Ovis aries: one gene and its partner. The protein of the gene in region 1 purifies or fractionates together with the protein of each later gene. This does not show direct contact. Links are inferred from orthologs where the notes say so. Each region holds a gene or a part of one and is shown in the gene's direction. Other genes may lie near its edges.

Evidence for each region. The genes of interacting proteins can lie anywhere in the genome.
Region 2: the proteins of PAK2 (region 1) and GIT1 purify together in Homo sapiens (affinity purification with mass spectrometry; 5 studies listed by BioGRID and IntAct, with this or other methods). This does not show direct contact. The link is inferred for Ovis aries from reciprocal best matches to the Homo sapiens genes PAK2 and GIT1.

The regions. Positions count from the first base shown.
Region 1 is NC_056054.1:192,139,722-192,146,914, forward strand, and holds part of PAK2 (serine/threonine-protein kinase PAK 2), read left to right. Parts: coding exon 1-50; intron 51-2,272; coding exon 2,273-2,469; intron 2,470-7,193. UniProt on the Homo sapiens protein: Serine/threonine protein kinase that plays a role in a variety of different signaling pathways including cytoskeleton regulation, cell motility, cell cycle progression, apoptosis or proliferation.
Region 2 is NC_056064.1:20,778,610-20,785,902, reverse strand, and holds the start of GIT1 (ARF GTPase-activating protein GIT1), read left to right. Parts: upstream 1-2,475; 5' UTR 2,476-2,675; coding exon 2,676-2,727; intron 2,728-2,750; exon of another isoform or gene 2,751-3,649; intron 3,650-7,293. UniProt on the Homo sapiens protein: GTPase-activating protein for ADP ribosylation factor family members, including ARF1.

The DNA.
Region 1 (7,193 bases):
CATCAAAAGTGACAATGTGCTTTTGGGCATGGAAGGATCTGTTAAACTTAGTGAGTAACAAGTGAACAGATAACATTTATATGTTACTTACAATTTTCTGCCTTTTAAGTAAAAACTCTTTTCCTGCTATTAACATTTTTATGACAATACATGGAGTTGGGGAGATTAGCAGTAAAAAGATATGGACCATCAGCTGGACAGCTTGAGTTTAAATAGTGGATCTACTACTCTTTGCTGAATAATTTTGGGTGAAATCATATAATCTGTTTATGTTTGTTTCCTCATTTGTATAGGGAAAATAGTAGTACCTATCTCAGAGAATTCTTCTGAGTACTAAAAATGTAAAACACTGAGGAGCAGTGCCTGGTACTATTGTAATGTTGGTGCTGTCTTCCAAACGTAAACTTGGATTTGTCTCTGCTACCTGTTGGGGTAGATTTTTCTCATTATGCTGTTCGTCTTTCTTTGAATTTGGTAGATGGTCTAATTAGGAGAGGCCTGTGTGACCCAGACATCAGAGATGACACTTTTAGGAAGAAAATTGTTTGTAAACCCCTTTCCCCTTTCTATCATGTATCAGACATGATAGAGTCATGGGGAAAAAAAACTCTCTTCCTCTGCTGGCTATAATCTCAGTTCCACCCATGCCTTCTGGAGGATTCAAGAACTTCTACTGAAGTTTCTCCAACTATGCAAAATGCAAGACATTTCTTGGATTAGGCGACCAAAAACTATTTCTTCTGTTTGCCTAGAGAATTTGGCTCCTTTTTCAACATCTCTTTTTAAAAATAGATTCTTCAGGGCCTTCCCTGATGGTCCAGTGGTTAAGACTCTGCACTTTCAATGTAGGGGATGTGAGTTCAATCCCTGGCTGGGGAACTAAGATCCCATAAGCTCTGTAGTCCAGCCAAAAAGTGGGGGGGAAAAAAAAATCCTTCAGAGGTTATTCAACTACAAGAATGAGGATTTAGTTTCTATTTGATGGTCAAAATATATAGTTAATAATTGTAATTTTAGTGGGAAAGCTAGAAATTGATATTCTCATACATTTTGGGTGGATATACAGGTAAACTAAATTTGACCTTTTTTAATAATATTTTACCCTGGCTCTGCCACTCACTAGATGAATGACCTTGGTGTTCCTCAGTTTCCCCATTTGTAAAATGGAAGTCATAATAATAAATGTACCTATCATAAAGTTAAAATGTGGTATGTTTTTTCTTATGAGGTACTTGAAACAGTTTTATAAGCACTCATTTTAGCTATAAATGTTATGATTTGACCTAACAATTGCCTTCTTAAGACTGTCTGCTATAGAACTGCTGAACATATGCACAGCAATAAGTACAAAAACGTTCTCTACAACCTTGTGAAGAAAACCAACAATATCTGAAATAATCTAACAGTACAGAAATGGTTAAATACATTATGGTATTTTTATGTTCTGTAAAGTTGTGTAGTTACAATAATAAGGTAGGTTAGTATAGTAATACAGAATGATCTCTAAAAATAGTTTTAAAAAGCAATTTACAAAGTATCCTAAGTGAAATATTTAAGTAAAATAAACCAATCAGTTTGTAGATATTTTTTGTATATTTGGAAATGTATAACAGAAGTCCCAAATTGACAGTCCTAAATGTTAACAGTATTTACATGTGGAATAGAATGAGTTTAACAGTAGAAGGAAGGAAACGGTTCTAGATTCTTATCTTGACTTTCCTACTGAATTAACGCTGGGTTCTAAATTAGGTATCCTGCTCCTCAGTTATAAAATGAGGTGGTTGGAATAGAGTAATGCTGGTGAAGACCTTGTGGGTACAGTTGTAGTTAAATGTGTTCTTTTTCTAGACTCTCTCACTGACTCATATGCTTCTTATTAATTCTAGCTTCTGTTTTTTTTCTTCAAAAGTAGTGTCCACTTCCTGACCTTTGCCTGATTGACAGTGGACACAGTTTTGGTGTCCAGCTTTGGTAACTTTTTCTTTTAGATCTTTTTCAACTTTATTAAAAGTTTTAGGATAAAATTAATTGTTTAGAATAAAAACCTTCCTAATAATTTACCTTCTTCTTTTTGGGAAGTAAAAGTTAAAAAGTGAGAGTGTATAATATCAAAATATCTGTAAGCCCATTCTGGTTTACTTTATTAATGCATTCTTAAAAACTAAGAGACTGAATACTCAAGTATAATTCATTAAGTCATATGAAGTAAACTCCTAAGACAACCCATGAACACCATTAACTCAAGATGTTTTGTATTTTTTTTGTTTTGTAGCTGACTTTGGTTTCTGTGCCCAGATCACCCCTGAGCAGAGTAAGCGGAGTACCATGGTTGGAACGCCATACTGGATGGCACCAGAGGTGGTTACACGGAAAGCTTATGGCCCCAAAGTAGACATCTGGTCTCTGGGTATCATGGCTATTGAGATGGTAGAAGGAGAGCCTCCATACCTCAATGAAAATCCTTTGAGGGTAAGACCAGTTAAACACTAAACTTACTTTCAGAAAATAATTTTCTTTAAATCATTAATTTAGAACTTGCATGTGCTAGGAACTGGCCAAGGATTTAGGATACAAAATTGATTAAAAACAACAAAAAAACAACCCCAAAAGCCCAGTCTCTTCTCTCACTCTATATCTAGAAAGTATTTGCTTCTGAGTTATTGAGTCGAATGTGTTAGGTTAAAGAGTTTGTAATTTTTTGATAAGCTGTATTGTTTCTTAAATTTGCACATAAATAAGAATTTGCTCAGTTTTCTGTAGAATTAAGAGACGCTAGATATAAGCTTCAGGTTATTGACTTTGAACTTTGGTCTTTGTACCCCCAGGTACAAAGAGGAAAGCAGGATCCCTTCTGTGAGGAGGCTGGGTAGATGGCAGTGTTAAAGCCCACATTCAGACAAAAGAGTGAGGGTCCCCAGAAACAGATGAAGTCAGTAGACTTTAAACGGTTTCATGTTCCAGCAGCTGAGGTAGAGTTCCAGCTTTCCTTCTTTCTCTCTTTTTCCCTTCCTTTCCTTCCTCCCTTTCTCCCTTCTTCTTCTCCTACTCTCCCTCCCTCCCCTTTTTCCTTCCTTCTTTTACATTACCATATATCAGTAGTTATTAAGAAAATGCAAATCAGAACCTCTATAAAATCACTTCATGCCTACTAGAATGACTGTAATAAAAAAGGCAGAAAATGATAAATATTGGTGAGAATCTGGAGAAACTGGAACCCTCGTGCATTGCTAGTGGGAATGTAAAATGGTATAGCACTTTGGAAAACAGTTTGACAGTTTCCTTAAAAATTGACATTGAGTTACCATGTAACTTGACAGTTCCTCTGCTAGGTAAATAACCAAGAGAATTAAAAGTATATATTCACCCAAGAACTTGTCCACAAATGTTCATAGCAGCATTATTCATAATAGCCAAAAGGTAGAAACAACCCAAATGTCTGTCACCTGATGAGTGAATAAATAAAGGTAGTATATCCATATATATATACAAGAATCCTTAAGGATATAGTATATCCTTAAGGATTCCAGCATATATATATATATACTACTTTTGTTTATTCACTCATCAGGTAACAGAGATTTGGGTTGGAAAATCCCATGGTTGGAGGAGCCTGGTAGGCTGCAGTCCATGGGGTCGCTAAGAGTTAGACATGACTGAGCGACTTCACTTTGACTTTTCACTTTCATGCTTTGGAGAAGGAAATGGCAACCCACTCCAGTATTCTTGCCTAGAGAATCCCTAGGATGGGGGAGCCTGGTGGGCTGCCATCTATAGGGTCACACAGAGTCAGACATGACTGAAGCGACTTAGCAGCAGCAGTATATCCATACAGTGGAATGTTATTTAGCCTTAATGAAGGGAAAGATGTACAGATACATGCAGCATTGAACCTTGAAGGCATTATGATAAGTGAAAGAAGTCAGGCATAAAAAATTACATATTGTCGGATTCCCTTTACAGTTGATTGATTCCTCATTTGTGGTAGGGTAGTTAGGTTCTATAACACAGCAAACACTGAATTAACAAATACTGAACCATTGCTTCTAGAGGAAGTCACATTTTTGTTAACTGATCAGTACCTCACCTTGCTTTATATCTATTTCTGTTTAAATACACTTTAATATATATTGATGATTCAGTCATGTTGGACTTAGAGCCACTGTAACTCATGCTTGAATTTGGCTTATCAAACCAGTACATTTTCTCCATAAGGCATGTCATAGCCTTCTTGTCCTTAGGAATGCTGAATAGTACGCTGCTTTTCACCTCTCTGCAGATTTTTATAGATGACCACAGAAGCACTGAGCATATTGATTTGGAGGTTACAGATTAATTATAGTGAACAGGTAAATTCACCTATATGGAATCCTCAAATAATGAGGATCAGCCGACTATGAAGGCTCTGGAACAGGCACAGCCATAGAGACAAGAGATTAGTGGTTTGCAGCGACTGAAGAGAGGAGGAAATGTAATACATGTGAGTGTTCTTTTTGGAAGGATAAAAATATACTGCAGTTAGACATTAGTGATAGCTGCATAGTCTTGCAAATATACTAAAGACCTTAAATTGTACGTTTTAAAAGGGTGATGTGAATTACATCTCAGTGAAGTAATTATTTTAAAGTTTTAAATTGCCATATATGACTACAGACTTACTGCCAGAAATATAAAAATTTTTTCTCCAAATAAGTTGGACATGCTGTAAAATGAGCTACAGAGGCCAGTATAATGGGTATATGCAGAAGGTGCTCTGTCGGGATTGTGTTGGATTTTGATGCTCATTTTCCTATTGCTTTTCATCCTCTTGCAGAGATTCCAGTTCAACTGAGCAATTAAAGTACTTATATAGAAGTGATTAATTTTAAAACGCTGCAGAACAGTTTTTAAAACTGCCAAACTGGTTCATTCATACGTTTGGCAAACACTGATTTGAGTACTTGCTCAAGACACTCAGATCAGTAAGGTGCTATGCAAGGTACAGGCTTAAAGAAGCAACAAGAACTTCTGCCACTATGGAAGGAGGAGAAAGACAATTTTTAAAATAGAAATAATATGTAATATGTTAAATGAGGGACCCTTAAGTCCTGGGGCCGGTAGGCAGAGAGTCAAGTGTCCAATATCCAAAGAGTGGTTAGGGTGGCTTCACTGAGGTAACATTTGAACAAAGGAAATAAGAGAGTGATACTCAGTTACTTAAGGGAAGAACATTTCCATCATGTGTAAAGACCCTAAGCAGGAGCATTTCTTATGTATTCAAAGATCCATAAGGATTCCAGCATAGCTAGCCTGCAGTTGAGTACACAGCAGGAGAAAAAAGGGGGATCAGTTAAGACATGAAGCCAACTGTGGTACCATAGGCCTTTGTAAGTATTTGGCTTCTGCACAAGTAAGACGAGGAGACTGTTGGAGAATATTGAATAGAGAGGTGAAAGTGATCTTCCTTCTGTTTTAACAGGATCACTCTTAGATTTTGATGGGATTACTTTGTTGAGAAGAGGTTTTCAAGAGAGGCAAGGGCAGAAGCAGGAAGACCAGTTAGGAGGCTGATGCAGTGATCCAGGCAAGAAATGATGATAGCTGAGACCTGAATGGTGTTGGGGGAGGCTGGAAAAAGTAGTTGGATTCTGAATGTATTTTGAAAGGAGAGCCTACATAACAGAGAGGGAGAGATGCCCCTAGGAGTTTGGCCTAAGCAATTGGAGTGATGAAACTGAGGTTCTCCTTGGCTGAAATGAAGAAGACTGCAGGTAGAGAAGAGAAGTGGAGGTGGCCGGTACCAGATCAGGAAGTAACATTTTTAACTTGTTTTGGACATGTTAGGTTTGAGGTACCTATTAAGATATCCAAGTGTCCATGTGGATATATTGAATAGGCTGTTGAATGTGGAAGTCTGGGATCTAGGATAGAAATATAAAATTGTTAGCTGTAGAATGTTTTAAAACTCTGAGATCAGGTCACCGGGTCTAATGGGCATAGACAGAGAATAGAATAGATATGGCTCTCATGTCAATGTATGGCAAAACCAATACAGTATTGTAAATTAAAATAAAGTAAAAACAAAAAAAAATAGAATAGATATGGCTTGCCTCCTGAGGCGCTGCATAGTTAAGCATTGATCCTAGTTTTTTAGGATATATTCAACTTATCAACTTTTTTTGGAAGTGCTACATCTATATTTATAAGTTAATTGGTTGTTATTCAGTCACTCAGTCATGTCCAACTCTTTGCAGCCCCATGGACTGCAGCATATCAGACTTCCCTGTACTTCACCATCTCCTGGAATTTGCTCAAATTCATGTCCATTGAGTCAGTGATACCATCCAACCATCTCGTCCTCTGTCATCCCCTTCTCCTCCTGCCCTCAATCTTTTCTAGCATCAAGGTCTTTTTAATGAATTGGCTCTTCACATCAGGTAGCCAAAATATTGGAGTTTCAGCTTCAGCATCAGGCCTTCCAGTGAATATTCAGGGTTGATTTCCTTTAGGATTGACTGGTTTGATCTCCTTGCTATCCAGGGGACTCTCAAGAGTCTTCTCCAGTTCAAAAGCAGTAGGCACCGAAATAATCAAGTCACAGTATACCATGCAGTTTTAAAAAGCAGAAAAATACAACCCATAATGAGGGGGGAAACCAGTCTATTGAAACCATCCCAGAACTGACACAGATAAAATAATTCATGTACAAGGTCATTAAAATAATTTTAATAGTTGCATTCCAGATGTTAAAAGAGTTAAGTAAGACATTTGAAAGTTTTTTTTTTTTTAATTCAAATCTGACTTTTAGGTAGTAACTAGAGAGTTTGAGATTGTATTAATGGCAGATAATATAATGTAGATTAGTGATTTAATGATCATAGATATAATAATAAACTTAATATGAAAAATAAGGACTGAAATGAACTTCTTAAAAAATGAAACAGTATCAGTGAGCTGTGAGACAACTTTAGGTGTTCTCATATGTGTTTGATATAAGTTACAAAGTTTTAAAACAAAAAACCCAGTCAACCAAGAAATCTGCAGCCAATAATCTTGTAAAAACTAAGGTAAAAGTTTTCTCAGACATACAGAAGTTTGAAAGAATTTATCACCAGTGGATCTATACTACAAGAAATAGTAAAGGAAGTCTTTTAAGCAGAAAGAAGAAGATAATGTGGCTCCACACAAAGAAATGAAGAGCATGAGAAGTAGTAACT
Region 2 (7,293 bases), on another chromosome or scaffold:
CACTTAGAACAATCCAAGAAGCGTTTGTGTGGGAGGTGCTAGCGAAAGCTTGCAAACTCTCCGTGCCTCTCTCAGGTTTCTTTGTGTGGTCTTCTCTTGTTCCTCCTCCACACCCTGCGGTGCCAGGCCCCGGCGCGGAACGATGAAGGAGGAGTGGACTGCCTCGCCCCTTTCTCCAGGCTGGGAGGAGCCAGTTGGCATCTCCCGCCGCCGGGGACCGCTGCCCACCTCCACCACGAGGGGTCACCAGAGTGCCGTGGCTGCAGCCGGAGTTGGGGAGGGGGCTGGAGCGGGGAAGGGACGGCCAGGAGTGGCCAGGAGAATGCCTGTACATTTCCTCATTAAATTGTTTTTTACAATCTTGTTGTGATCCTCTTTAACTGTCTTGCTTCCTGAGATGGCGAAGTCTCCAAAGGGAAATTTGGAAACCCTTTTATCCCTAAGCCCCAGGCCCAGAGAAGCTCGTCTGTGGCGGGGCTGGGGGCTTCGGGAACAAAGTTTGGAGAGTGGATCCGTGCTTCGGCCACTCCCCGGTAGTCCCAGGGCCAACCAGGAGATGGGGCTAGCGGGGTCGGGGGAACCGAGTGACTCATCCTTCTTCCTCTGAAAAGGCTTGGAGCTCAAGGAGGCGGGGAGCTCAGCCTGGATTGGGGGGCGGGGGGGGGGGGCGGCATCCTCTGGGCAGCCGGAGTTTCTCTTTTCGCTAAGTGGCCCTGGACTCTAAACCCAGGTCGCTTTTCCCCAGCCTGCGCGCTCCAGCTGCCACGTGCTCGAGACGCGCCCACACAGCAGAGAAACAAAGACAGCCAAGCAATGGGGCTGCCAGCAGCCGCCTCGACATTTAATAAATGAAATTCCATAGCTGGGGGTCGATCAGGGGTGAACGGGCGGCCACAGCTCGTGGGCTGGGCGCCCAGTAAGAGCGGCCAGGCCACTCCTCCCATCACCAGGGATGGGGCCACCAACCCCACGGACTGACTCCTCGGTGAGGGTGCGGCACGGGGCGGCAGGTGGTGCTCCCCACAACCCCACCCCACCCCGCGAGGTATCTGTGCTCGCAGAAACCCTGCCAGATGAGCGGCTGGCTATGGGGGGAGGGGATGCCTGCAAGATTTTTTTTAAAGGTGCGATTATAAATACACCCTGTGGATCGCAATCTCAAACAAACTTGTCAATCTGGGCTGCAGGGAAAGGCGATGGAGGCAGCTTTGCATATATTTCGGGTGGAGTGACTCATGAGCATTACTCGTCTCCCCCAGGGAAGCAGCCTGCCACCCACAAGTCACTGCTGCTCTGGCACCGCCGGGATAAAATGAGCCAACTCCAACACCCCTGCCCAAGGACTCCCCTCCAGCCCCCTTGCTTTTGAGCAGGACTCCTGGCCATGGGGAACCCTCCCCTAACCTGGGGAACCTGCCTTAATCGTGTCACCACTACCCTGGCCCTTGTGCCTGGACACCCTCGCCCTCTCCCAACAAACAGAGCGCTGGCCTTTTGCTGCTGCAGGGATGGGGGTTGGGTGCACGTGGGGCACACGTGTATGGGGGAGCATGCTCAGTGCAGGGGTGCACCCATGTGAGGCCTGCGCCTCCTCTCCCTGTCACCCCCACCCCTCCAATGAGTCTCTCCGTGAAGTCCAGGAAGAAAGACCACCACAGAAAGGATCCCTATATGTTATATGTCCACGCCCTAGACACACACTTCTGGTGGCTCAGAAATACCGTTGATGTACACAACACTGATACCAAGTGGATATTTCTGCACACAGGCACAGTGTTCACTCCTCAGGAGGTCTTCAAAAAAAAAAAAAAAAACCTGTCCATTCTTTTCTCTCTGGATGAAAGCATGGAGGACGGATAGATATCTTTTTAGCCCAGAGACTGGGGGATTCACTGCATGACCTCTGGTACCTGGCCGTCCATATTGTTGGCGGTGGGCTAGTCAGCAAGAGTGTGACCACACACACACACCTGGACACACAAATGTGGATACACGGGAGGACCGGAACGCACAATTCAACCCAAACAGACAAGCGGGTACCTCGAACCACAGCCCCTGGATAAGGGGGGCCCGGGGCCTCCAGCTCCTCACTCTTCTCAGATGCCCAAGGGTCACTGTCCCTGGGCCCGAGCTCCTCAGGCCACCCTCAGCCTCGAAAATGAAGGGGACGAGGCTGTGAGGCGAACTCGCAGCGTCTTGGCGGCAGGGGCGCACCTAGGCCCGGGCCGCAGGCGGCGCTGCGCGCTCGGGCCTGGCGGTGGCGGCCCCTTTAAGGGCCCCCGCCCCCTTCCGCCCGCGCTCCCGGCTTCCTTTCTCCGGGAGGAGCGGCGGGCTGGGCCCGGCGGCGGGGCGGGTGTGCGGGCCGCCCCTCCCCCGGTGGGCCGGGCCTGCGCCGCTTCCTGCAGGAGCGGCCCGGAGCCGCGCAGGGGGCGGAGAGAGCGAGCGGCGGCGGGGCGGCGCGGGGCGGCGCGGGGCGGAGGGCGCCCGAGGGCGAGCGGGCGGGCGGGCACGGCGGGTTCCGGGCCAGCCCCGGGGGCGGACGGTTGGCCGGGCGCGCGGAGCCTAGCCGGGGCCTTGCCGGAGCCGGGCCGGGCAGCAGGGGCCGCCGCCGCCCGGGCCCGCCGCCCGCGCCCCCCACGCTGGCCCAGAGGGCTGCGGCCGCGTCGCCGCTGAGGATGTCCCGGAAGGGGCCGCGAGCGGAGGTGTGTGCGGACTGCAGCGCCCCGGGTAAGCGGGGCCGGGCCGGGGGCGGGACCGCGCACCGAGGCGCCGCCGGGCGGGCGCCGGGGCCTGGCGGGCGCGCCGTGCGGGGCCGGAGGGCGGGGCGGGGCTGGGGGCTGCGGCCTCCGGTCTCGGCCCCCGCCCGGGCCGCTGCGGAGCCGCGTCCTTGGAGGGAGGGCCGCTCAGGGGGCCGCGGTTTGCTCGCGTCCGTGGACCAGCGAGGAAGGACATTCCCGGCGCCGCCTCCCGCCCCTCAGCTGGCGCCCCCCCCCCGCCGCCCCCCCCGCCTTCCATCTCTGGGTCCAAACGGAAGCGCCAGCCTAGGGTGGCCAGGAGGACTGTGGCGGAGGCCGGCCGGGCTTCGGAGGTGGGGGCGAGTGTGGTTTTGTGTCATCGCAGGGCCACCCCCGCGTCTTGCACCTGCTGCTCTCCTGGTCTGCGCGCCCGCAGGGGTGGCGGAGGGCAAGGGGCAGAAAGCCGGGCAGATGGGCCGGCGTGGGGTGGGGGTTGTCTGGATTCTGTTTTCTCGGGAGCAGACGGCGGGGTGGCTGCTCCTAGGACTCCCTGCCCCTGGCTCCCAAGGCTCCTCGCAAGGCCTGGTGTTCAGAGCCACCACAAGCTTGGGCATCGTCCCCTGAGGCGTCCCCAGGCCTGGTAACGGGACAACGAGCCTCAGCTTTTCCTGTGCTCCAGTAAGGCCTGCTTGGAAGGTGGCTTGGCCATACCCCAGCCTGGGCACAGACCTCTCTCCCTGTCCCCTAGCCCAGCCTTACCAGAAATGGGTAGGGAGCATGTGGAGGGGTGCCTACATTCCCGGGACCCACCTGGCTTTGTGGCCTGCCTCCCGGCTGTATTTTCCGTGCTGTTTCCCTTCTTCCCACCAAGTCAGGTCCAGGCTGATGTGAAACCCCCCTGACCTGCCAAAGAGGTGAGGAGAAATGACCCGGAAAGGCTGCTCCCTTCTGATGTGGGGGGACACTACCAGTGATCGGACTCTGCAGCTGCCTTGGGGAAAGGGGAAGCCCTGGCCCTTGACCATCCTCTCTTTAGAAAAGGAGCTATCTCCCTGGGAGACCTCCGGGCAGGCTCAAGGGGGATCCATGAACTCCAGGAGGACTCTGGGCACAATTAAGTGGAGAGTGTGGGCTGCTGTTTTGTGGCCCATCACTTCCTGCTACCCTTTGGACAGGCCCAGGGCTTCCCTGGTGGCTCAGTGGTAAAGTATCCACCTGCCAATGCAAGAGACCTAGGTTCAATCCCAGGGTCGGAAAGATCGCCTGGAGAAGGAAACGGCAACCCCCTCCAGTATTCTTGTCTAGGAAGTCTCATGGAGAGAGGAGCCTGGCGGGCTACAGTCCATGGGGTTGCAGAAGAGTCGAACACAACTGAGAGAGGACCCCAATAGGTTGAGACCCACAGATGCGCTGGTGGTTTCAGTGGCTCCAAGCTTGAGTGTTTGGGCACTGTGGGATCCCAGGAGGTGCATGGTGGTCTGGGTGGCTGTGACCCTGAGGCCTCCTCTCAGGGCATGTCATGGTCTCTTAGAGGTCCCTGAGGAAGCTGTGTGTCCAGGGATGTGGGGTGTCCTTACCTCTGGTTAGTTAGAAACTACTATTTCCTTACCCCCAACTGCAGGCAGGTCTGGGGGATTAAGCGCTAAGAGGAGAGCTTGCCTTCTGTGTGTTGGTCCAAGGCTGTTCTGCCCCTCTGCCGGGCTGCCCCTCTGCCCCGCGGAAGGAGGGAAGGAGCATTGGTGGGTTGGGAAGGTGTGGCTGGGAGGGGGTTGCTTAACAGACACTTTATCATGGAAACCTGGATTTTTGTGTTGCCTTTGTTTCTAGCTTACTCTCTGACTCATGGCAAGAGTTTTCTCATGCTGAGTCTCAGTTTCCTCAACTCTGAGGCCAAGAAGTTGGAGTAGGAATGGTTTTTGAGGACCATCCCATCTCCAGTCTGCGGTCCTGATTCTGGGCAGGGGGACGCAGGGCAGCGTTAACAAGGCAGTTGTCCTTTCTCCATTGCCTTTGACTACTTGATTGGAAGCCTCTGGATGCCCGTTGGGCATGGGCAGGAGTGGTGTGTCTCTCATGTGTTGGGGTGCCTGGCTCCTATCCCTGGTCCTCATCCCACAGAGTCCTGTGTGCTCCTGGGAACCTCCCCACCCCCACCCCACCCCCGGGCCCCGATCCAGAAAGCAGGTCAGGAGGAGGCAGGTGCTGAGGTGAGGATGTGAGGCGTGCAGGGTGCCGATAAAGTCTTGCTCACCCCAGCACCCAGCATGGTTTCTAGCACAGAGCAGGCATTCCCCCAAGGGATTGGAGGCTTCTCAAGACCCTGACTTCTCCTTGGGGCATTTTTCAGTCTGGGACCTGTAACAGCCCAGGTAAGAGGCTGGAGAGAAACTAGCAGTTTGGAGCCCAGGCCCAAAGCCCCCTCATTGGTGTGTGGTTCCTACCTGAAGTCGTAGGCCTCTCACTGTATTCGGAGCCCTGCAGACCCAGCCCTGGGAGCGGGGTTGTTGTCTCTTTGTGAGTGGTGAATTTGCGGGGTCTTGAGGTAAAAGGTGAGATGAGCCTGACGCCAAAGAGCCCCATCCTCCTCCCAGGCCTGGGTGCATGAGACAAATCTTGAGTGTGTTGTGAGCGTGGCACGGCTGCCAGCCCTGGCGGCTGGTGCTGTCTCGCCAGGCACCGTCTGTGACCCTGCCTGCCTTGGGAACCATGGAGGATGTGTGTCTCCCCTGTCCCGCCCGTCCACTCCACCTGCCGCACAGCCGGCTCATCTCTAAGGGCGTGCGTGTGGCAGCCCGCGGGCTCGGGCAGCCCCTGGCACAGACGTGAAGCCCTCACAATGCCCATCTTAACAGGCATCTTGAGTGAGCAAGGCTGGCCACCAGCTAAAGGTGTCTGGGAACCTGCAATTTCATTTGTCTCTTCATGATGTAAATTGTGGGCCGGGGTGAATGCTGAGCTTTTTGCTTTCACTGAGGTGTAGCTTATGTACCCCTGGAAAAGGAAGTGGCAACCCACTCCAGTATTCTTGCCTGGAACATCCCATGGACGGAGGAGCTGGTTGGGGGGGGATGCAGGGGGGACCTATAGTCCATGAGATCGCAGAGAGTCAGACACGAGTTAGCACACACTCACAACTTCTGTACAACAAAGTGCCTGTACCCTACTCTGTAGCCTGATGAGTCTTTACCTGTATACATACATAACTCTGTAGCCACAACTTGAATCCAGAAGTAGAGCGATCCAGAAGTAGAGCCCGTGCAACACTCTAAAGGGCTTTCTGTGTCAATGCCCGCACTGCCCCCCCCCCCCGCCCTGGCCCCCACAGGGAACCGCCACTGTGACCTCTGTCCCCATGGAGTAGATTACTCTTGCCTGCTTTCAAGATGATGGGCTTGTCCCTCTTGCCCAGGTGCCGAGATAGGAAAGGCTGGCCACTGGCTCCAGAGACCACTGGTGGCTTTGGGTGGTGGTATGAATTCCCCTCAGTAGAGGCGACCATGGGCTTGGTGCTGCTTCGCATTATTCCAGGACTCCTGCCACCTGGCACACAACACGGGACCCCTGCACCCCAGCCCCACTGGGAAACTTGGCAGATGTTGAGGAGGTGGCCGCACCCCCTAACCCTCACGTTCCCTGTCCTTTCTGCCCCGAGTTTGGTCCTGGAAGCCTTTTAGCGGGCATGGGTCCCTTAATCTCAAATTGCAGTAGCCGTTTGACTTTCAGAACCCCTTCCTGGCCTTTCAGCTTCGGAACTGGTCTAGGTGGGGCATGGGGGCGCCAGCTGGGGGAGGCCCAGGCCTCTTGGGCAGAGGAAGTAGGGAGCAGAGTGACCCAATTATGTCACCCAGAACTGAGCTGGCACCGTTGTGCCCCAGACCAGGGCAGTGTTCCCCTGCCCACCTGGTTCAGGTCACTGTAGGAGAGGGGGGACCCCTCCACCAGGCTGGGAGAGTGGAGAGTTGGACCCCTTTGCCCAGATCCTGGTCCCTGCCGCCTTCAGGGGTTAGCGTGTCTGCTCTGGCGCCGGATGGCTGGCCAGCCCACCCAGGCCTGGCTCCTCCAGGAGGACCATGGGCTTGGGGTGGAGGCCTTAGAGCGGCCCATTTATGATCCTGGCCTGGGCGGCTCCCTGCTGACAGGAAACCCCACCATTTCAACAGGAGGAATTTGGGCTGCGTCATTTCCAGCTTCCTGCCTGGGCTGGCCGGAGGTGGCTGGCAGGCAGACCCCTGACCCAGTGGGGTTTGGAGCGGGGGAGGGAGCGTTTCTTGCCTGGGGCCAGACCGGTTGGGTCAAGCCAGCGCTCCTGTTTGCTCTAGGGCTCCCCCTCTTGGCAGAGATGGTGGCCCCCAGAGTCAGCCTCCGATGAAGCTGGGCGGGGGCACCTCCTGCACCCCTCTGTCCTATTTTGGGGGCAGGTCCCTAAAACCTAGACCCAGAGAGCGGGGCCGCTCCTTCCTCTTCCTGTTTCTGTGCCGCGGAGGAGACTCCATCACCGCTCAGGCTGCGCTGACTCAGTTTCCTCACAGCCCTGGGGAGCTCTGATGGACGTCCTCGC